Sus scrofa: one gene and its partners. The protein of the gene in region 1 interacts with the protein of each later gene in a biochemical or structural test. Links are inferred from orthologs where the notes say so. Each region holds a gene or a part of one and is shown in the gene's direction. Other genes may lie near its edges.

The links.
Region 2: the proteins of LEF1 (region 1) and SMAD3 form a complex in vitro, tested with the Homo sapiens proteins (2 studies listed by BioGRID, with this or other methods). The link is inferred for Sus scrofa from reciprocal best matches to the Homo sapiens genes LEF1 and SMAD3.
Region 3: of the proteins of LEF1 (region 1) and NLK, one has a biochemical effect on the other in vitro, tested with the Homo sapiens proteins (4 studies listed by BioGRID). The link is inferred for Sus scrofa from reciprocal best matches to the Homo sapiens genes LEF1 and NLK.
Region 4: the proteins of LEF1 (region 1) and transducin-like enhancer protein 1 form a complex in vitro, tested with the Homo sapiens proteins (2 studies listed by BioGRID and IntAct, with this or other methods). The link is inferred for Sus scrofa from reciprocal best matches to the Homo sapiens genes LEF1 and TLE1.
Region 5: the proteins of LEF1 (region 1) and MITF form a complex in vitro, tested with the Homo sapiens proteins (2 studies listed by BioGRID). The link is inferred for Sus scrofa from reciprocal best matches to the Homo sapiens genes LEF1 and MITF.

The regions. Positions count from the first base shown.
Region 1 is NC_010450.4:113,824,965-113,829,256, forward strand, and holds the start of LEF1 (lymphoid enhancer-binding factor 1), read left to right. Parts: upstream 1-1,489; 5' UTR 1,490-1,551; coding exon 1,552-1,761; intron 1,762-2,466; exon of another isoform or gene 2,467-3,027; coding exon of another isoform or gene 3,028-3,036; intron 3,037-4,201; coding exon 4,202-4,268; intron 4,269-4,292. UniProt on the Homo sapiens protein: Transcription factor that binds DNA in a sequence-specific manner. Participates in the Wnt signaling pathway. Activates transcription of target genes in the presence of CTNNB1 and EP300.
Region 2 is NC_010443.5:164,996,976-165,001,265, forward strand, and holds the start of SMAD3 (mothers against decapentaplegic homolog 3), read left to right. Parts: upstream 1-1,481; 5' UTR 1,482-1,663; coding exon 1,664-1,869; intron 1,870-4,290. UniProt on the Homo sapiens protein: Receptor-regulated SMAD (R-SMAD) that is an intracellular signal transducer and transcriptional modulator activated by TGF-beta (transforming growth factor) and activin type 1 receptor kinases.
Region 3 is NC_010454.4:44,401,588-44,405,797, forward strand, and holds the start of NLK (serine/threonine-protein kinase NLK), read left to right. Parts: upstream 1-1,402; 5' UTR 1,403-2,577; coding exon 2,578-3,035; intron 3,036-4,210. UniProt on the Homo sapiens protein: Serine/threonine-protein kinase that regulates a number of transcription factors with key roles in cell fate determination. Positive effector of the non-canonical Wnt signaling pathway, acting downstream of WNT5A, MAP3K7/TAK1 and HIPK2.
Region 4 is NC_010443.5:234,364,109-234,367,617, reverse strand, and holds part of transducin-like enhancer protein 1, read left to right. Parts: intron 1-642; coding exon 643-706; intron 707-818; coding exon 819-863; intron 864-3,509. UniProt on the Homo sapiens protein: Transcriptional corepressor that binds to a number of transcription factors. Inhibits NF-kappa-B-regulated gene expression. Inhibits the transcriptional activation mediated by FOXA2, and by CTNNB1 and TCF family members in Wnt signaling.
Region 5 is NC_010455.5:51,384,055-51,388,363, forward strand, and holds the start of MITF (microphthalmia-associated transcription factor), read left to right. Parts: upstream 1-1,503; 5' UTR 1,504-1,591; coding exon 1,592-1,624; intron 1,625-2,671; coding exon 2,672-2,899; intron 2,900-3,949; coding exon 3,950-4,033; intron 4,034-4,309. UniProt on the Homo sapiens protein: Transcription factor that acts as a master regulator of melanocyte survival and differentiation as well as melanosome biogenesis.

The DNA.
Region 1 (4,292 bases):
ATGAAGTTAATAAACCATTCCCGCAGTTTCTTGTCAGTTTCACGCGGGCAAAAACGTGCCTTCCTTGGGTCACAAGAAGCGCGGGATCCTTCCTTCGCCAAGTTGCCTGAATCTTCTTTCTAGGCGCTCTCCGCACGCGCGCGCGCGCTCCCTCTCTCTCTCTCTCTCTCTCTCTCTCTCTCGCGCACACACACACACACACACAGACATACACACCCCAAAACTAGGACTAGTCCTACAGGCTCTGGGAAAAGAAAAAAGTCCTCAATCACCAGCTCCTTCTCGCCGTCCCCCTCCTCCCTCCCAGCGGGCAGCCAAGGAAAGCTGGAGGCGGGGGAGGGGAAGGGGAGGAGAAGCGACGCAAGTGGGTAGCTTTTCAGCGCCGGCGAGGCGCGGGAGGAGGAGAAGCGGTGGGGAGGCGCAGCCGCTCACCTGCGGGGCCGGGCGCGGAGGAGGGATCAGGCTGCGCGCTCTCAGGCCGAAGAGCCAGGACGCGCCCGTAGCCCCGCAAGCCGCCAAGCTCTGGGCGTCCCCCTCCCCCGGGCCGGGCGAACCCGAGGGGTGCAGCTCTTTGCTTTGACAAGCGGCCGGGCGGAGGCGTGGAGAGCAGCGAGCCAGCGAGCGAGCCAGACTGAGAAACTCGAGCCGGGAACAAAGAGGGGTCGGGCTGTGTGTGTTTCGGCTCCAGCTCCGGGCAGAAGCTTTTGGGTCCGCGGTCCCTGCTGTGACTCCCCGAGACCCAGCCGTGCCCTCCACTGCCGACTCCCTGAGCTTGCACGCACAAACTTTATTCTTGGCAAACTTCTTTTCCTTTTCTTCCCCTCCTCCTCCGCCCCCACCTTCTCCTCCGGCAGATTAAATTCGCCTGGAGAAGGAAAACCGAAGCGAAAGGGAAGGAAACAAGAAGCTCTAAAACGGACATCTCCAACCCTGGTGGCTTTTTTTTTTTTTTTTTTTTTTTTTTGCTCTCCAGGAAGTGGACATTCATTATCTTCTGATTCTCCTTGCACCGTCTCTACTGGGGCAAACGGAGCCGTTTTGCCCGAGTCCCTTATTTTTCCGGGAAACAAACTCCCAGATCGGCCTCCGGGGGAGCTGAGGTGGAGAGATTTGCGTAGAGACGCGCCGGCGGACCCTCCTCTGCACTTCGGAGACTCGAACCTCCTACGACCCGGGAGACGCTGGGGGCGTCGGGTGGCCGCCCGGGCAGTCTAGCCTAGCGTGCGCCACGCTGCACGGCGCAGACGCCCCCAGAGGCGCCGGCAGCGGCGGCCCTCGCAGCCCTGTGTCCTTCGGCCTCGCGGACGGGTGCCGGCGTGGGTCTCGGCCGAGTGGGAAGACGCGGACGGCCGCCGGGACGCGGACGCCGCTGCAGTTGCTCAGGCTGCCGGCCGCCAGCCCTGCGCTCGCCAGCCCGGCTTCCGCCTGCTGTCGTCCCTCACACACCCTTCCAATTCTCCTTCTCCTCCCCCACCTTTCCTTTACCCTTTCTCTCTTCTGCTGTCGCCTGGGGTGCTCCCCCAGCGGAGCGGAGATTACAGAGTGGTCGGGATGCCCCAACTCTCCGGGGCAGGCGGCGGCGGGGGGGACCCGGAACTCTGCGCCACGGACGAGATGATCCCCTTCAAGGACGAGGGCGATCCCCAGAAAGAGAAGATTTTCGCTGAGATCAGTCACCCTGAAGAGGAAGGTGACTTAGCCGACATCAAGTCCTCCTTGGTTAACGAGTCCGAAATCATCCCGGCGAGCAACGGACACGAGGTGAGCGGGCCGCTGCCCAGAGCGGCGTGGCGGGTCCGGGGGAAGAGCAGGGAGGGAAGGCTCTGGACAGCCCCAGCTGATGGGTCCCCAGCAGGTCTCCTGGGGCCGAGGTGGGATGGGGTGAGGGGCTGGGCTACTTTGGTCAACGTTCTTCGTTTGTGCGTGTGTGAGGTGGAGGGGGATGCAGGAAAACATTCAAAATGGATCCGTTTTGGGGTTCTGTGACTAAACTGTTGGTTTGCGGCCCTTAACCCATAACGTTTCGCCTTCAGACGTTTTCGTGGGGTTGAGAATGTGCGATGCATTAAAGCGAGGATGTCTGAACAGCACTACTGAGAAGTTCTTCCGTAGGACGGAAAACAAAGTGCACCCGCTCTCTCGATAGATGTCTCTGCAAAAATGCGTTAAACCACCAAAAGCTTAGGTAGAAACGAGCAGAGCCACAGGCAGAAAGGAAGGGGAGGCGGGCGTGGGCCGAGGACAGGCGGGGCCATCCCAACCGCCGCGGAGCCAGGCTCGCGCCCAGCGGGGCGCGCGGCGGGGGCGGTGCGGGACCCGGTCCTTGCCGCCGCCCGAGTCCCAGTGCCGGGGCTGGCTGTGGGGAGCCGTGGGCGCGCCGAGCGGAACCACCCCAGGGCGGGGGCACTCGCAGTAAGGTCCGCAACGCTAGTTTTCTCCACCCACAGCCACTTAAAGAATTGAAAAAAAAAAAAAAAAAGTTTATATTGGGGGTTAGTTTGGGCCCGGATCAGGCCTTAAATCTATGCAAAAGAAAGGCGAGCCAGAGTCGAGATGCGGCGGAAGCCAGGGCACCCACTCAGGGGAGAGTGGAAAGCACGTTATCAGATCTCTGGCCCGCTGCGGGCGATAGCGTTGGTAACCCGAGTAGAGTAAATAGAGACACGTGGGTGCTGGCGAGAGAAAGCCGAGAGCTGGACCTCGCGGAAGGGCTATTTCAGGCCGAGCTGAGAGCTTTGGGGGTGGGGGAGCGGGAGAGCGGATGGACCCTGATACCCGACACTGCACTGGCCACCCTTGTTCAACAACTGGGAAACGCTTTGGAGGAAATCCGGTAGAAAAGTCCTGACATTCAGAAGATTTCACCAACGCTTTTTCCCTCCAAAGAAATTCGGAGGGTATATCCTTTTTCCTTAAATGGCATCCTTCTGCCCCCAAAAAGAAGGCGTGTGAGGTTTTGGGGGCGGGGACATTTTGGGTTTTAAACAGCAAGTTTAAGAACACCTCTGAGTTACCTTCTTTATCCCAATGGCAGGGGTGAGTACGCATTTTGGAAGTCGGGGGCCTGGGAGCCTGGGTTCTAAAGAGAATGTAGGGATGTTCTGTCCCCTAAATCTTTCATCCCAACGTGCCAATTGTGCGGGAGGGGGCGAGGGAGGCCGTGGCAGCGGAGAGGATGCCCCCAAATCTGCTTAAAAGATTTGTGATTGTGTGTTCATTGGGGGGAGGTTACCAGGAGGACACGTGTTAAAGAACCAAATAACATCCACAACACTCGAGGCCAAACTCATATTTGTAGAGTGGCCTTTTAAAATTTCTACTCATTTTGTTTGTACGTCCTTTTGCTATAAATAAATTCGCCACCCGCTTCACATCGTCTACCTGTGTCTGCATTGGGGAGAAGGGCACTGCATTTGAAGCCCAGAACCCCTAGGTACTAGGGCTCTGTTCATCTTTGCTGGTGGTGAGTGGGCATGGGGCAGACCCAAGAAAAATGGTGAAAGGGTAATACCACTGATTTGCACGTGGTTGAGGCTGGGTGGATGGTGGTTACAGAGCTGATATTAACTGGGCTGCCTTTTACGTGTCTGTAGCCTTACTCTCAAATTTTCCTCCCTTTAACCACAAAATAGTTCACTTTTCTCTTGTAAGCTTGCACTCAACCAGCCATGGTAGGTTATAAGGGGTGGAGCTCCTGCTGCAACCAGTTTGGGACAGTTGCCTAAAACCCCCTTTTGTGAGTGGTGGGCTTGTTTTTATTTAAAATGTCATTTTCAGTTGCAAAGTGATATTTCAGCCCTCCTTTAATCAGATCTGATTGAAGTAAACAGTGGTTGTGAAGAAGCTATCAAAACGACCAACCCCGTTAACTCAAATTCCTATCATATTTAGGCATCCAAGCAGCCTTGATGTGTTTTAGCAAATAGCAGTCAGAATAGTATATGAATTGTTCCCAAATTTGTTTTTGTTACTATTTTCTTTATGCTTTCCAGTCCTGGGCAGATAATTCTCAAAAATGTATGCTGAAAAAAAGATTTCTCAGTAGTCAGCCCTAGCCTATCCTCATAGATTAATAGAATAAGTAGATTGAGTTGCACCTAATCCTCCTCCTCCTCGAGTTACCAGTGGATACACATAGCACTTTTGTCACAAACTCTAAGGTGATTTTCTTTCTTTTGTGGGTGGGGATTCATGCTGTTAGGTGGCCAGACAAGCACAGAGCTCTCAGGAGTCCTACCATGACAAGGCCAGAGAACACCCTGATGACGGTAAGACAGTAATACCACTCCCAA
Region 2 (4,290 bases), on another chromosome or scaffold:
GGGGAGGGGCAGCAGGAGAAAGGCCCTGGGGTCCTGGGGTAACTCCTGAAAGCAGCTGCAGGAGGGGTCTGGGGGCAGATGCCCTTGAATTGTGCTTCTGGGGAGAGAAGCCCCAGAGGGCCCCCAATATCTTGGTATTTCTTTGCTTCCCACCAGAGCTAATTTGGAATACATAAGGTTCCCCGGTACTGCCCTCTTGCCCCACTTTTTTGCAAGTTCACAGCTTTGAAAACAAAGCTCTTGCCTTCTATTTATAGGGTGTTGAATTTCGGCTCTTTGCTCATCATAAGATTCCAAATACCCTGTAATGAAACTTTTCCTCCAAAGATAAATTCTGAAGCGCCCCGTCCTGAACTCAACGGATACCTTTGAGGCCCGTTTTCTGCTGGGCACTTGTTTCCCAAGGCCCCTGGGACCCCCTGGCTCCAGTTATTATACAGGGAGTCACTAGGGTCCCCGAATCTCCACTTCTGAGAGCGAGCCCCTTCCTAATCCCTCCTTCGCACGGTCTCGGGGCTCTAAACCGGTAAGATCTCACCGGTGCTAGAATTAAAGGAGCCCTAGAGTCACCGGCGCCACCAAGGTCCCTAACCGGGATTCGCGTGCCCGCATACCAGTGCGCTGCCAGCCTTCCTGGGCCTCAGCTTTGCGCACGCCCTCTCTCGGACCCGGGTCCTCCCAGGGATGCACGGCCAGCCTGCGGCCAGACGTCGTGCGTTCGTGCGAGCCTAACCCTCTCGGGCCCGCCACGCCAACTGAACTTTCTTAGTGTGGGTTCCGAGAGCGGACGCCACGGCCCGAGCCCGGCCCTCCCGTCCGGGGCCCCTCTCGCCGCTCCTTTCCCACGACTTCCTCCCGGCGCCCGCCGGATTCAGGTCAGGGCCGCGCGGGGTCTTGCGAGCTCCAGCCAGGTCCGCCGCAGCCCCCGGTCGCCCACGTGGGCGTGCTCCGCGCCGGGCGGGGGACGGCCCGGCGCCCTCCCGGAGGCGGGGGGCGGGCAGGGCGCCCGCGGGAGGAGGCGGCGGGGCGCGGGGGAGGAGGCGGGGAGCCCCGGCGGCAAGGGGGCGGTGACAGCGCTTGGAAAGGAGGCTGCACGCGGATTTGCATGAAACACAGACTGGGAGCGGGCGGGAGCGGGAGCGGGAGCGCGGCGCACGCCCCGGGCCGGCCCAGCGAGCGAGCGAGAGAGCCGGGAAGGAGGAGGGCAGCAGGGAGGCGAGGCTGCCGAGGCGGAGGGATCTGCGCATCAAAGCGAGCGAGGCGAGCAAAGTTTGGCTGAGGGTTGGACTTTCCTTCCTGGAGGCGGCACCCAAACAGCCACCCCGTGCGGAAACCCAAACTTTCTTCTGCCACTCGGAGCCCCGCGGCCGCCGCCTCCGCCCCGCGTCCGGGGCCTTCCCGATCCCGTGCCGCTGCCGCCCGCCCTTCTCCCCGCCGCTCTTCTCCTCACCGAGGGAGCCGCCCGGGGCACAGGGCCGCACGCCGAGCCCCGCAGGCTGCAGCGCCGCGGCCCGGCCGGGAGCACCGGCAAGTTCGCCGAGAGTTGAGGCGAAGTTTGGGCGGCCGCGGCCAGCCCGGCCGAGCTCCCCGCTGCGCCCCCGGCGTTCCGCCGCGCCCAGCCCCGCCGGGGGCGCCCCTCGCCGCCCGCGCGCCCTCCCCAGCCATGTCGTCCATCCTGCCCTTCACGCCCCCGATCGTGAAACGCCTGCTGGGCTGGAAGAAGGGTGAGCAGAACGGGCAGGAGGAGAAGTGGTGCGAGAAGGCGGTCAAGAGTTTGGTCAAGAAGCTCAAGAAGACGGGGCAGCTGGACGAACTGGAGAAGGCCATCACCACGCAGAACGTCAACACCAAGTGCATCACCATCCCCAGGTGGGGGCCCGAGGGACCCTGGGGCGCGCCCGCCCAGCCCCCTGGCGTGGCGGGGGGTTGGAACGGAGGGGTGGCCTGGGTGCCCGTGTGTGTGTAGGGGGGGGGCGGTGGGAACACAGACAGGAAAGCGGGGGACCCCAAACAAAACCTTCTCTGGATTTGCAGAGATTCAGAGCCTGAGGCTTCCACACGGCATTCGCGCTCCCAGACCTCGTATTCGCTTTTCACCTCCGGGAAAGCGGGTGCTGCTGGAATCGGCGGCCCCCACCCCGGGGGAGCTGCGGGCTAGAACTTGAGGCCCGCTTTGTTCAGCTCCGCGGGCCGGAGCCCCTCCTCCGCCGCCGCCTCCCGCCCCCGCGGCCCGCGCTCGTGGAGGTGGTGGTGTCTCTCCCTTTCTTTTCTTCATCCCTGTCCCCCCACTTCTTTCCTCCTCGGCAGGAATGCAGTCCGTACAGCTGGGGCTGTGGGTGAGGAGCGGGAGCCTCGTGATTGACAGATTCCTTCTTCGTTCTCTCTTTGCCTTCGGGATTAGCATTTTTATCGAGTATTTTTAGATTCGGTTGTGCCAGTCTCCCGCCCCCTCCGCACACACACGCACTTTACTTGCAGTGGGGTGGTCTGACTTTCAAATGAGAGAGATAAGTGGCAGAGGGTAGGGTCTTCTCCCCCGACTGTTTTTTGGCCCACCTTTCAGCCATAGATTGCGAGTGGCTGCAAAACGCGGGGGGCTGAGAACTGAGGAGATAACAAAACGCACCCCAAAGGGGGGCCTCGCCTCGGCCCTCGCATTCCTACAGAGCCTTCCTTCCCAAAGCGCTGTGCCATCTGTCTGGACCTCCTTTATCCTCCACTTTGCGCTAGCTAGGTCAGGCGGGAGCTCACAGATGGCTGATAGAAGGGGTCAGTGACTTCTCTCCACTCCCCAGGGCCTTCTTTTAGCTTCGCTGCGCCTGGCTGGGAATTGGGGTGTGGGGGCACCATAGTCTCCTGTCTTTCCCTCTCAGCCAGCCCCCTTTAGAAGTCCGATTCTGCTCCAAGGGAGTGTGTGTGTGTGTGTGTGTGTGTGTGTGTGTGTGTGTGTGAGAGAGAGAGAGAGAGAGAGAGAAAGTGTGTGTGTGGGGGGGCAGGGTGGGGTGGGGTGGGGGAGATGTCCTTTGGGTCCTGGGCTGCAGAGGATTGAGTGGAGGGTCCCCAGGGCCTGCACCCCACAGAAATTGCCATCCTTGCTGCTGGGGCCAGGAGTGAACTCCGTCCTTGGCCACCTGCTTGGGGCAGCTGTATAAAGGCTGCCAGCCGTGTCAGGCAGGCACAAAGCAACATCTGTCCACGGGAACCCAGGGCAGGCCTCCCCTGGAAATAAATGCTGCATATGGTGGGAGTGCTGACTTGAAAAATAATAATTTTTTTTTTCAAAACTGGGTGGATCCAGTCAATAAAGCGGGAGGGAAGGCAATGTGCTGTCTGGGAAGTGTGTTCTGGGCGTGTGATCAGGAGCCAGAATTGACTTCAGAGGAGGTGGTGTGATGTGATGGTCAGTGAGCCCTAGGTCCTGGTCCCAGCCCTGGTGCTTAATTCTTCTTTATTCCTTTGGATGAGGGTCAAGGAGTAGGGCGAACAGATGTCATACTTCTCCCGCCTGGGGAGGGGTTTGCAAAACCTGCCTTCTTACCTGTCTCGGTGCCTTGAGGGCAAGGGCTTTATGCCTTGAAACAGGAAAAAAAAAAAGTATCAATTATAAAATGAGCAGCTGTGTAAAGCGTTTTACAGTTTACCAAGGTCTTTCACGTGGTTTTATGAGAGCAAGAAAAAGAAACTCCTGGAAAATAGATAAGGCAATTAGGCCTAAGATTTATCTTGTTTTTAAAGTTGAGAAAACTTTGGAGGCGAGAGGTGAAAAAGCTTGGTGTAGTAACGGGATTCTGACCAAATGTGCTCCTTCTGCTAGGCCAGGCTGCTCTGCACTTTGAAGCTTTGGAATACATTCTTTGCTGACCGCTAAAGCTGTGTTAGCCAGAGGGATGGGCCCCTAGGATCTTTGTTGGTAACATTGCCAGTGTCGGCCTCTGGGCTAGTGACAGCCTGGAGGAGAGGCCTTGTTCTCCCTTGCCTTAGTAGGAGTTTGCCCTCTGGGGAAGCACAGCTGTGGTCTGTCTTTTCCTCTTTCAAAGTCCTCTGCAGCCCGAGGTATTGGACACTTCAGGTGTTTCTGAGAGTTCAGGTTAACTTGGCCTTCTCATGATTCTCTTAGGACTGGGCCGTCTTCTACCTGTCTGGCAAGGACCTAGTGCTGAGGCAGATTTTTTTTTTTTTCCATCTTTTTCAATTAGGGAAACCCAGTCGCTTGGGTGGATCCAGACAAAGTGGATTTCCATCCCTGGTTTTTGTGCCCACGCCGCTGGGTCACCTTGTCTCCCTTGGCAA
Region 3 (4,210 bases), on another chromosome or scaffold:
TTAGAAAAAAGAAAAGAGGGAGTTCCCGTCATGGTTCAGTGGTTAACGAACCCGACTAGGAACCATGAGGCTGTGGGTTCAATCCCTGGCCTTGCTCAGTGGATTAAGGATCTGGTGTTGCCTTGAGCTGTGGTGTAAGGTTGCAGACACAGCTCCCATCCCGCGTTGCTGTGGCTCTGGTGTAGGCCGGTAGCTACGGCTCCGATTAGACCCCTAGCCTGGGAACCTCCATATGCCACAAGAGCGGCCCAAGAAATGGCAAAAGACAAAAAAAAAAAAAAAAAAAAAAAAAAATCAAAGACAATCTCCGGGGTTCTGAGTGCACAGTTTTAGTAAGGGTAAGATTCTGTATGCGTATTATTTCATATTTTTAAAGAAAGGTAAATTCAGGTAAGTAAATTTTGTGAAAGTGAAAGATGTTATTTTAGTTAAGATTTCAATAGCTAGAACTCATTGACTTAGAAAATATGGGAGAAATTAGTCTTTGTGGGTAATCATTTTTGTTTTAATTTGTATCAATAGCCTATAGTTCAATGAGCGTATATTCCTGAAAACTAGAAATAACATGTCTTTTTGCCGCTATGAGGATGAGACATGGAGAACCAGCTACTGGATATGAACTGTCAGTCTACTGAATTTCTTTTGTGCCTGTCTTGTTGAGTAACTTTGGTTGAGTTTCCTAACAAGCTCGACATCCCCTTTTGCTCCCCCTATTTCTCCACACCTGATTTCTTTAAAAGGGATAGTAGAGGGCTGCTATCAATGGACCAGAGACGATTTGGACTCCGCCTTCTTCGACTAGGTCCCGCCCCTTTCTTTAGACCACACCCATTTTCATCTTGCCACGCCCCCTGAGGAGGTCGTCGCTGATATGACAGCGAATTCTCCACAATCCTGACCTATAGGAGACCTGAAGGGTGGGACCGAGAGCAATTTTTTTTTTCATTTGTCATATCAAGTGTCTATCTGGCCCCAGTCTCAACCCACTTCCTCTCCAAGCCAAGGATTGGTTGCTCTGTTCTTGGTCCCCGGTTCACGATTGGTTCTTTCATTCCATCAGCTTTGGCAGGCGGGATTAGCACGCAGCTTCCTGCTCCTGCCAAAAAAATAAAAGAAGAAAAAGAAAAGAGGAGAGAGGCGAAAGAAAATGTCACGGAGATCTTTGGTGTTTAATTCGCTTTTGGCCTTGTCGGTCAGGCTAAACTCTTCCTTTTGATTGGTCTTTCGATCTGCCCATCCCAGGTCGGGGCGGGATTTCCCCAGGAGACCCACACCTTGTCGCCACTGGCCGAGCAGTGCGCCTGTCTGAATCTCCCGGCCCAGGATTGGAGGCGGATGCGGACAGGTGGGCGTGGATTGGCTAGGGCAGCCGGTCAGTGTGAGGCGGGGGCGGGGCCTCGGCGGCTGGTTGCGCGTGTCCGCCGCTGGCTCCGCTCTATCCGGCTTTGCTAGGGGAGGTGAGTCCGGCCGCGGCGGCACCAGCGGCTGAGGAGGCGGCGGCAGAGGAGAAAGCGGCGGTGGCGGCTAAGGAGAAAGCGGCCGCGGGACCGAAGCCGGGTGGGGGGGAGGGGGGGAGACGGAGCAGCCTTGAGCCCTACGGGGGCCGTCGCGCGGGGGGACCCACCCGCTCTCCCCCCCAACCCTCCTCAGCAGAAGCAGCCGGCGGCGGGGGCAGGAGTCAGCCCGCTTCCGACTGCACCCCGCCCGCCTCCCGGGGCTCCCATTCTTTGGCCCCAGGACCCCAACCTCCTCCCGGGGCGGTTCCCTCTGTCTGGGCGTCCGAGTGCTGCCCACCTCTCTTTCATTCCTCCCCGCACCTCCTTACCTTCACTTTGCCCCGGTTCTCTTTCTCCTCTCAGTCCTGCCCTGTCGCCTCCTCTGCTCACTCGGTCCCTCCTGCCTCCTTCCCTGGCTCTTTTCTGTTCGGGAAAGTTTAGTAGCCCCCCCCCTCCCCTCCAGTCAGGTCAGCCTGACGAGGAGTAGGGGGAGATGTAGGAAGGCCTGAGAGTTCGAGGGGGAAAGCTGGTTTCCCTGAACATTTCCCCCCATCCTTTCACTTTGGGGTGGTTGGAATTTTTTTCAGTTGCATTTTTGAGGAGGTGGTAGGTGTTTAGAAAAGGATGTGGGAATGGAAGGGGTAGATGAGTCAAGCCTCTTACAGGATTCCAAGGGTGGTGTGTTACCTGATCCTTTTCGTGTGTGGAGTTCGGGGGGTCGGGAGGTTTGGCCTTTATTCCCACAGTCAAAGTTGGAACCTCCCCCGAGTTAAGGATGGAGTTTTAGTACCCACTTGTGGCAGGAAACCTGGGGGGAAGGGGTCCCTTTTCCCTTTTTCTTTTCTTTTTCTTTTTTCTTTTTTATTTTTTTTGGGGGCAACCCACACTCTTCCACACACTCTCACCCCCAAATTGAACACCACGATCCGCTCACTTGTCTGGATTGACTGATGAAGACATAAAGCCAGTTCCGCTCCATGTTTTTGGAGGTGGAGTGAGTGGGTTCTTTTCTTCATTTTTAAATGGCCAAATGACAGCTTGACCCAGTTTGCTTTCCAATCAAAGGGCATTTTTTTTTTGAATGTCTCTTTGTGGCGCAAGAGCCAACGCAAAAATGATGGCGGCTTACAATGGCGGTACATCTGCGGCAGCAGCAGGGCACCACCACCACCATCACCACCACCTTCCACACCTCCCTCCTCCTCACCTTCACCACCACCACCACCCTCAGCACCATCTTCATCCCGGGTCGGCTGCTGCTGTCCACCCCGTACAGCAGCATACCTCGTCGGCAGCTGCGGCAGCCGCAGCAGCGGCCGCAGCTGCAGCCATGTTAAACCCTGGGCAACAACAGCCATATTTCCCATCACCGGCACCGGGTCAGGCTCCTGGACCAGCTGCAGCAGCCCCAGCTCAGGTACAGGCTGCCGCAGCTGCCACAGTTAAGGCGCACCATCATCAGCACTCGCATCATCCACAACAGCAGCTGGATATTGAGCCGGATAGACCTATTGGATATGGAGCCTTTGGTGTCGTCTGGTGAGTATCCCAAGAAAACCGCAACTTCGGGTTTCTTCTCCCAGCTGTCGTTGGGCAAGGCCTTTCTCCTGGTTTTCTTCTCGGTGTTGACCCAAGTAGAACAAGCTTCTTGGGTTGTTCCGCAGCTCAGCTGTAGGAAGCCACCCTTCCACACCTGGTAAAGAGGCCTAATGCATTGGCTGTGTAGGCTTAGGCCTTTGAGTCGTGGCCAACTTTGGTGGAGCACCCTCTGTTGAGTAACACACATAAGTTTGTTGTCTACCAAACTTATTGTGTAGAACCTAAGCAAGCCACGGAATGGAGGATCAATAAATAGATGAATGCATGGAATGCTTATGCCTACACAAATCTTGCTTGGCCATCTCTCATGTTTGACTCAGTTTGAATCGATTGCAACAAATACCACAACCGACCCAAACTCAGTTCCTTATGATAGCCTTGTCATTGGGATATACTTTGCATAACCATTTTGCTATTCTTTCTATCTTTTCATTCCTTAATTTGTGATCTTGATGGTCAGAAGGAAGATCAGGTTACATGAGTGGTTTATTTTAAACCATAAAGCTACAGTTGGGAAGTATGTAGCTTTAGCCTTTTGATAAGAATGCATTAAATATAGCATCACACATGCGTACCACGATCGAGGTCAGTAGACTGTAACTATGCAGTGGCCCACATTCAGTGTAATGTTTTAGTGTCATTTAGTGGCTTGTAAGTTACTGTTATCCCTTGGGTGGTTGCTGTAGTAGGAAGTACACTTTTTAAACATGAAACTGCTCTACTTTTGCTAGTTCTAGGATATTTTAAAAAGTCCTAGGGCTTCTTAAATGCAACATTTCATCTATTCGTCCTTCTTAGAAAGGTTAATAGTTGATAATAAAAGGTATTTATCATTGTCTACAATTCCTGTTCCTTTCATAACTAGAGTGAAAGGGATTCCCCCCCCGCCCAAGGATGAAAGTATTCTGGTGTGGATAGATAATGTTTTCAGTGCTTCAAAAATAGATCCTTCAACTATACCTCAAAAAAAAAAAAAAAAAAAGATTCTTGTTAATGTCTAGAAGAAGCCTCCATCAGCACAGGAAAATGAACTCTTTGGAATTAGCCTGGTAAATGTCTCCTTTCATCATTGATTTTCAGGCTGTAATTGATATGAGTTTCATTTTTGTATTGTA
Region 4 (3,509 bases), on another chromosome or scaffold:
GGCTTTCTGATTATTGACATTTTGTCTACTTGAAGATAATAATCTCTAGAGCTTGACGCATACCTGCCCACACCATGTTTATCAGGTAGGGAGGACTTCATCCCACTTAATTGCGTAGTTACGTGGCCTATTTGGTCAGGGAGTTAAAAACAAAGGTTTTAAAAGGAAACAACAATTGTAGAAGTAACTTTGCAGGTACAGTTTTCAAACTTTGAGACTTTTTGAGTTGGCACAGATAGTACAGCCTGTGCCTTCAACTGGAGGTTGTACAAAGGCTAGGTTTTGGTGGAATCCAGGGCAGCAAACTTTGATTCCGGGAAGGAAATAGGAGTGAACTGATGACCACGAGGAGAAATCAGTCTTCTGTGTAGATCTGAGGTTTTGACAGATTTTTTTCATTCTTGGCGTCAGACCAGGTCTGCACCTAGAAGAAAAAGAATAGTTGCTTAGTGGATACCCTGAACTGTTTACTGGATTCATTTTCCCTATTAAATGCAAGGACAAAGCTTTTGGGTGTTTACCTAGATAGTTTATGGCTTTTCCAAATTGGTCTGTGTTTTTACTTGAAGTGCAAATATGTGAGGCAGATGTTAAAACAAGTGACATAATGTTTACATTAAGTTGCCTGTTTTGTTTTTGTAGCCTTAAATTGGAATGTGAGAAACTGGCAAGTGAAAAGACAGAAATGCAGAGGCACTACGTGATGGTAGGTATCAAAAATTAAGCTTTTTCCTTTGCATGTAATATTAACAAATATGTGTTCTGAGCATTGCAAAACACGAGTTAATGAAATGCTTGGTTCTTTTTCCTTTTTACAGTATTATGAAATGTCATATGGATTAAACATAGAAATGCATAAACAGGTAAGCTTTAGTTAAATCTCAAGTTGAAATGATAAATAAGTCATGATTTTATAGTACTGGCTTTGACTTCAGCAGTGGGGGGATTTGTATGCCGCTATTCAGCCTTGGTTTCCCTTCCTGCGAATTGGTGGTGGTATTCTGCAGCAGGAGTTGCTTCTTAATAGTTGTAGAATGTTTAAGTTACTAGATGAGAGGTGCTTTGGAAGTGTAAACTAGCCTGTTTATAGGCACATAGGAATTGAGGCTCTGCTTGACTTTTCTGTGTGGATACACTGTTCTCTTGAAAGATTTCGGTATCCTGTAGAGTTCTGAAGTTCAGAATAACTAATGTTTTTGTGCTGATTTGGAAAGAAGTGTAGACCTGTAGGGGAAAGAAAGGTCTTCCGGAGTTTCTTTATTCAGGTTATGCAGGTAAATGATTTACCTGGGGGTTCTCTCTATGCTTTGGGGCTACAAAAAGCGACACTCAGGATTAGTGGCTTATTAGCAAACATCATTTTGAAAAATGTCTCAGTTGATACAGGTTTAGAGGGGAAAAAAGCATCCTTTTATGACCACAGCATATGTTGGGAGTCTCTCCAGTCCTGGTGGTTTTAAAAGCATGAAAAGATTAGTGACTGGAAAGCTCGAGCTATGACTATGAGTTTGCAAGTTCCCATAAAATTCACACTTATGGCTACTATAATGGTGTATAAAAAGAGTATTGAGCTGGAACAAGGCACTAAGGACCTCATAAGAGAAGAAAAGCTAAATGATTGCTCAGCCCAAAGGACCCTCGATTGAGTAGTCATTGTCTGCCAAAGAAAGCATTAATGGCAGGGTGTAAGTATTCTGGAGATATGCTGACATTCACTTTTTCATCAAGACTCCGGTACAATAAGTCTTTTAGAAATCGATTGCCTCTTAAAAAATTATCATCAGATGAAGTTGCACAGTTGGACACATTTCAAAGTGCAACAATACAATTCTTACTTGATGTATATGTGCTATTTCATCTCAAACCCTTGTTTCATTAAATTAAAGAGCATGGCTGACCGGCTGGGGCACAGTGGAGAAATTGATTAGTTCAGCCTTCAGATCTTCCTCATATTCAAAGACTTTCATTAAGCAAGTGTGTTTCAGAGTTGAATTCTGCTTTTGTAACTCTGGGCTCTTTGATTTTTAATTCATCATAGATTTTGTAATGTTATCGTGTACATTAGATCTGTTCTCAGATATATGTTTGGAAGAAGATAGTTATGTTCGGGACCTTTCATTAACGGTATAATTGGGTCTTTAAAAGTGCTGATTTTATTCTGATTTGCAAAGTTGGTAGCCTAGTTTATGTTGGGTTTGTGCTTTTGTTTCTGAGAGCTTAAAGGGCTAGTGCCTGATTGAGGCAATTGTAACTTGTTGATAGTAATTGAGCTAGAAGATCTGTGGTCATTTAAAAGAATTATGCAAATAAAATTGGTTGAAGAGTTCTGACCTGCCACTTCTTAAAAAGTTACCCTAAAGGCACTTATTTTTCTTTTTTTGCTAACACATATTCTGGAAGCATAAGAGGAGATTGAGTTTTCTCTTACACTCACAAGCTCAAAGGGTTTAATAACCTCACGACGCCATACAAGGGAGCCCCACCTCTGTGATGTTGTGGGCTGGTGCTGGATTTATTGGGGTAACTACGGAGAGGTGTGAAATTCTTCTGGGTTCCTGTAGGTTACTTGGTGGAGTGACCTCTTCTTTATCGCACAGGAAGAAGGAAGAAGGGGTGAGGAGGGTCAGGAACCCCATGGTGTGAAAATAGTTTTCTAATGAGTTTCTGTACTCCACTGGGCATTTGTGGGTATATATTGTCTGTCCATGAGCCACTGTGCATTAATAATATGCTGTGTATAATTGGCTCAGTAATTTGAAAAATGTGAAAAGCTGAGAGACGTAGGGTTCTTCGTAGTAGAATATTAAGCCCCCTGAAATTTAGTTTATATTGTAAATGCTGACAGACCCTTAACTAGAGTGGTGTGCAGAGCGGTGCTGTAATTCAGTTTAAAGTGGCCTTACATTTGAAAAACATCCTTCTGAATGTCACACATTAATAATAAGTTCTGAGGAGGCATTTGGTGCAGCTAGTAATCATAATTCTTATTAAAACTGGTGACGTCTGGCCCCCAGGGTGTAGCCAGGCTCAAATTGATGCTTTTTGCCGCCTGATCACCAGCATGGCCTAAGTGCTCATTATATTGTAGAGAGGGCCTTTGCAGCTCTCATTAGATTTGACAGGAATTCTCTCTAGGGGGAAACTGGGCATTAGTGAGACTCCTGACAGGCTGAAATTAGTCCTGCTTTATGGCTTATAACCAAATGCTAGCAAGGCATCATCAGGGGACACAAAAAATTGTCATTTCTGACAACATCTTTGTTACTGCAAAAAAAAAAAAAAAAAAAAAAAAAAGCAGTGATGGGGAAACTTTAATGTTGTTAAGATTTGTCTCTAATGTGACGACCCGCTCTACTCCCCACCTTTCAGCGGCTTTGTCGGAGTGAGTTTGAGAGATTTCAGTGTCAAATCTCACCACTGACTTTTCCGGCTGGAAGTTTTAAAGTGGAAGTGCGTCCACATCAAGAATGGTATAATTGTGGTTTCCTTACTTGGTTTGGTGCCCACAG
Region 5 (4,309 bases), on another chromosome or scaffold:
ATGTTCTGTCTTCTCTAGGTGTTTATAACCAATCTATCCTCAATTATTTAAAAAGGCACTGACAATAAAAGCTTACTCTGATAACCCCAACTTAGTTGTAGTAAAGACCTCACCGACAGTGCCAAATAGAGAATAAGTTGCTTCTTTCCTTGCTAAAGCCTGAAATTCTGATTCATTAAAGAATAAGGATCTGCCAGTGAATTAACATTTATTTTTAAATGTGCAGCCCTTTCTTTTTTAAGTGACATAGTGAAATAAGCACATTACACCCATTGCCCTCATTTGATGTTTATTTTAGTAATGTCTATTGTCCTCATCATTATCGTGTCTGGACCCTTTATGAAACTCACAATGTCTCTGTGAACCTCCGTGTGCATGTTAGATCAGTCATTTGAAACAATTTGAGATTGTCAACTAAAGGACTTCATTATCCCAGGCACTGGTATGGAATTATTGCATTTCAAATTCTTGTGCTTAAAATACCTCACCATTTCAGCAGTGAAAATCGGCCATTATTGTAATTTTGAGATATATGTATATTTGTTTGCCTTTTTCCTTCCTTTACCCTTTTCCCCCAGATTCTAAGTGTCATAACACTGGCAATCATATATACTTGTTCACAGTGTGTCTGTTGTGCCTTGTACAGTGTTTATTTAGCACATAATAACAGTAAATAATGGAAGGAATACATGAGTAGATATATGAATGCATCAGGTGTGTGTATATGATAAGTGTTATTCTTCTCTAGCCCCAAGAATTATATTAAAATACTTTTAAGTGAAATTTTTTTTATGCTTTCTAATTTGGGGGTTCAAATGAGAAGATGTGTATTTCTTATTTTCCACCTAAAAATCTATATCCAAAATAGCCTGTGTGTGTTTTTCCTCTGTGATTTAGAATTGCTTCTGCTCTTGCTCATACAAGGTCAGTAGGATGTTTGTACATATATCCAGCTGAGAATAAGATGCACATTGAGACCAGGATGCAGGATGAGGCTGTTGCACTTGAAAGTTCAACAGAGACTCCTCCATACTAAAAGATGCTCTTGCCGTAGTCAGAAGTGGCTGTGTTCTTGGGCCCTTAGAAAAGTCTCATGTGTAGCTTTTAGGCAGTGTTCTCCACAGGAGGGGGGGGCATTTAGCTCTTAACCTAAGGCTGAAAGAGCAATAGCATTGTCTATTAATACTACTGGAACTAAAGATGAATAGTGAATTGGCCTTGATCTGACAGTGAGTTTGACTTTGATAGTTCATCACTTAAAAAGGTTCTTTTATATTTATGAAAAAAAGCATGACGTCAGACTGGGTGGGGTTGAGAGGGGGTTGATACCAATATTTAAGAGCAAACTCTAGGGCTTCCAAAAAAAAAAAAAAAAACCCTCTTGTGTGAACTTTTTTTTTTTTTTACGTGCATAACTAATTAGCTTAGGTTATTATAAGCAGAGCTGCTGTGATAAAGTTTCCGGTGGTGTCTCGGGATCCCTTGTTTATAGTGCCTTCTCTATGCCAGTCTACAAATCGGAATTGCAAAAAGTAGAGGGAGTGAATAGTCCACCATTTCTCATTGGATTGGGGCCGCCTAAAGCGTGGTTATGCTGGAAATGCTAGAATATAATCACTATCAGGTGAGCTTTGTTCTTATTCATATTCGGTCTCTGAAATGTAATCATTAAACTGAATGTTTCACCTTTTCATTGTTGCTTTTGTAGACCCACAGTTGTCAGTAAGTACGTGTCTCCAGTTTAATGCTGTTTATTGTTTGGTACCATAAGCAGTAAGTCAATGTAGTTTTGAACAAAGTAAATATTAGTTGGATTCCCTCCCCCCACCCCCCGGCCCCCAGTACATGGCTTTGCTCTCTCCATCAGCTCCTTCCTGTTCATAGCTCATCAGATTAAATTGTGTTTATCAAGGCAAAAGTGACTTTAAATTGAGTGTCATTGATTTTTTTTAAAAAAGCTTCTTATTCTGCATTAATATTTGTAAAGAAGAAGGGAAAATGATCCTGGTAGCTCAATACTCATGCTTTCAAAAACACATGCATAGAATGTTTGAAAGAAACTACTTAACGTGGAATTGCTTTTTATGTTGAGTTTAAGATCTTAATTAAAATATTAACTAATCATGTCCAAGTGAAAGTGGGAAGAATTAATCCACAGCTATTTGATTTAATCATTGGAATGTTTCTGTTTCTGTTCTTCAACAACTTTACAGTTGTTTCTTAAGGAGGTTTTCTTTTCTTTCTTTCTTTTAAACAGAAAGCTGTTTTGTTTGCCAAAGAATAGTGAAATAAATCAAGTTATGCTCCTTCTTTTAAATTATTGTTTTGGTCTTAATAAGCCCTCTTAGGTGTGTTGGGGGAAATTTTTGCCCTCTACATAGTTGCAAATGTTGAGTTATTAGATCTGAGAAGAAGGCACAAGGTTTTAAAGAGATGGACTGCTAATTAACAGGGAAATGAAACAGGGCAAAGTATTACCCCAAATCCTGAGAGTTAGCCTTTAAACTTCAGTAATATCAAAATCCATTAGCCCAGTGCCTGGTACCTAACAGGGGCTTAAAAATCTCTTCTGTTGGTGGACCTGCCCGTCTCATGTTTGTGCCTGAAAGAAGAGCTGTCCGAAACTCACCAATAACAGCGCTCTCTTCTCTTCCTCCGTGGCTATGTTCAGGTGCAGACCCACCTCGAAAACCCCACCAAGTACCACATACAGCAAGCCCAAAGGCAGCAGGTAAAGCAGTACCTTTCTACCACTTTAGCAAATAAACATGCCAACCAAGTCCTGAGCTTGCCATGTCCAAACCAGCCTGGCGACCATGTCATGCCACCGGTGCCGGGGAGCAGCGCACCCAACAGCCCCATGGCTATGCTTACACTTAACTCCAACTGTGAAAAAGAGGTAATTCATGTCTCCTCCCCTCTCCTCCTTCTTCCACTAAATGACTGTCTGTTGGATCTTCCTTCCGCACTTGACTGTGGACTCTAATCTGTCCGTGCGGCCCGCTTCACCGGCCCTTGTCTCTGATTCCCCATGCCAGCTGTCACCCTCCAGCCTCTTCTCCCCGTCACCGTCACCGGGTTACTGGGTTCTAGCTCCTGGCGGAAGACCTGGCCCCCTCGGAGCGGAAGGTGGAGGCGAGGACACTTTTTCTCCCACCCCGTTTCCGCTTCCTTAGCTGAGTGTTCTCTTCCATGCCTTTCCGTTGACAAAGCAGTGAAAATGCAGGGAGAGAAGGGAAGGTGGAAAAGGGGCAGCAAAAATAGAAAAGGTGTTGGACAGGCGGTTTAGAAGTTCCGCTTGTTGTAAATGTCTGGAATATTATTTTTATTTCTCCCAGATTTGGGAAGGGGAAAAAAAAAAAAAGCCCAGAATGTGCGTGGCTGGATTGGAAGACTAGAGCACATGAGAATTTAACAAAAAGGCCGAGGTTTCCTTGCTGGGTGAATTTGGTTTCCTAATAAAATTGCCGCTGCTGGTGAAATCTGCTTGTGCAAAGGCTGGATTGGAGACAAGACTCAAACATACCTCAGGCTAATAGTTCCATCAAAATTTGAAGCATCCAAATCCAGAGGAGAGTTTTGAGTTAATGGCTCTTATTTCCAAATTCTGAGACAATGAGCTTCATTTTTATGGAGTTTGTCCTCTGAAATATTTATGTGATTTCAGAGGTGACTCATCTGAAGTTTGATTGATTTTAATTTCTAGAGGGACTAAATCTTTTCCCTTTTGCCCAAACCAACCATCTGTTTCTTCTCTGTCCATGTTTGTCATCTCTCAAGCTGATTTGATGCAAGTTCTTCCTTCCTTATTTCCTTTCTCGGTCAGATTCCACCTTATTGGGAAGCTTAGTTCATCTTGTTGCTGCACCATCAGCCTCCTGTGAACATGTCCTGGAAAAAGTCACTTGCAAATCCAAGTCATGGGCTGTTTTTGCTTGTGTTTTTGCAGGGATTTTATAAGTTTGAAGAACAAAACAGGGCGGAGAGCGAATGCCCAAGTATGAACACGCATTCACGAGCGTCGTGCATGCAGGTATTGAATGACTCGACAGCCCAAGGATGTGACACTTTGTAATGAGGATCTATATTAGTGGCTAATCACACCTTCCTGATGACTTCAGGGCTTTTTTTTTTCCCTCACTGACTTTTTTTTTTTTAATTGAGAAAGCTCTGAGCAGGGTTATTTTCTTCATTATGTCTCATGATGAAAAAATTACCAGGGAAATGATCCAACATTTTTTCCTAAGTTGATTTCTGTTATTAAACAGTGCTTAAAATACACAAATTTTCATAAATAAAATGTAAACTG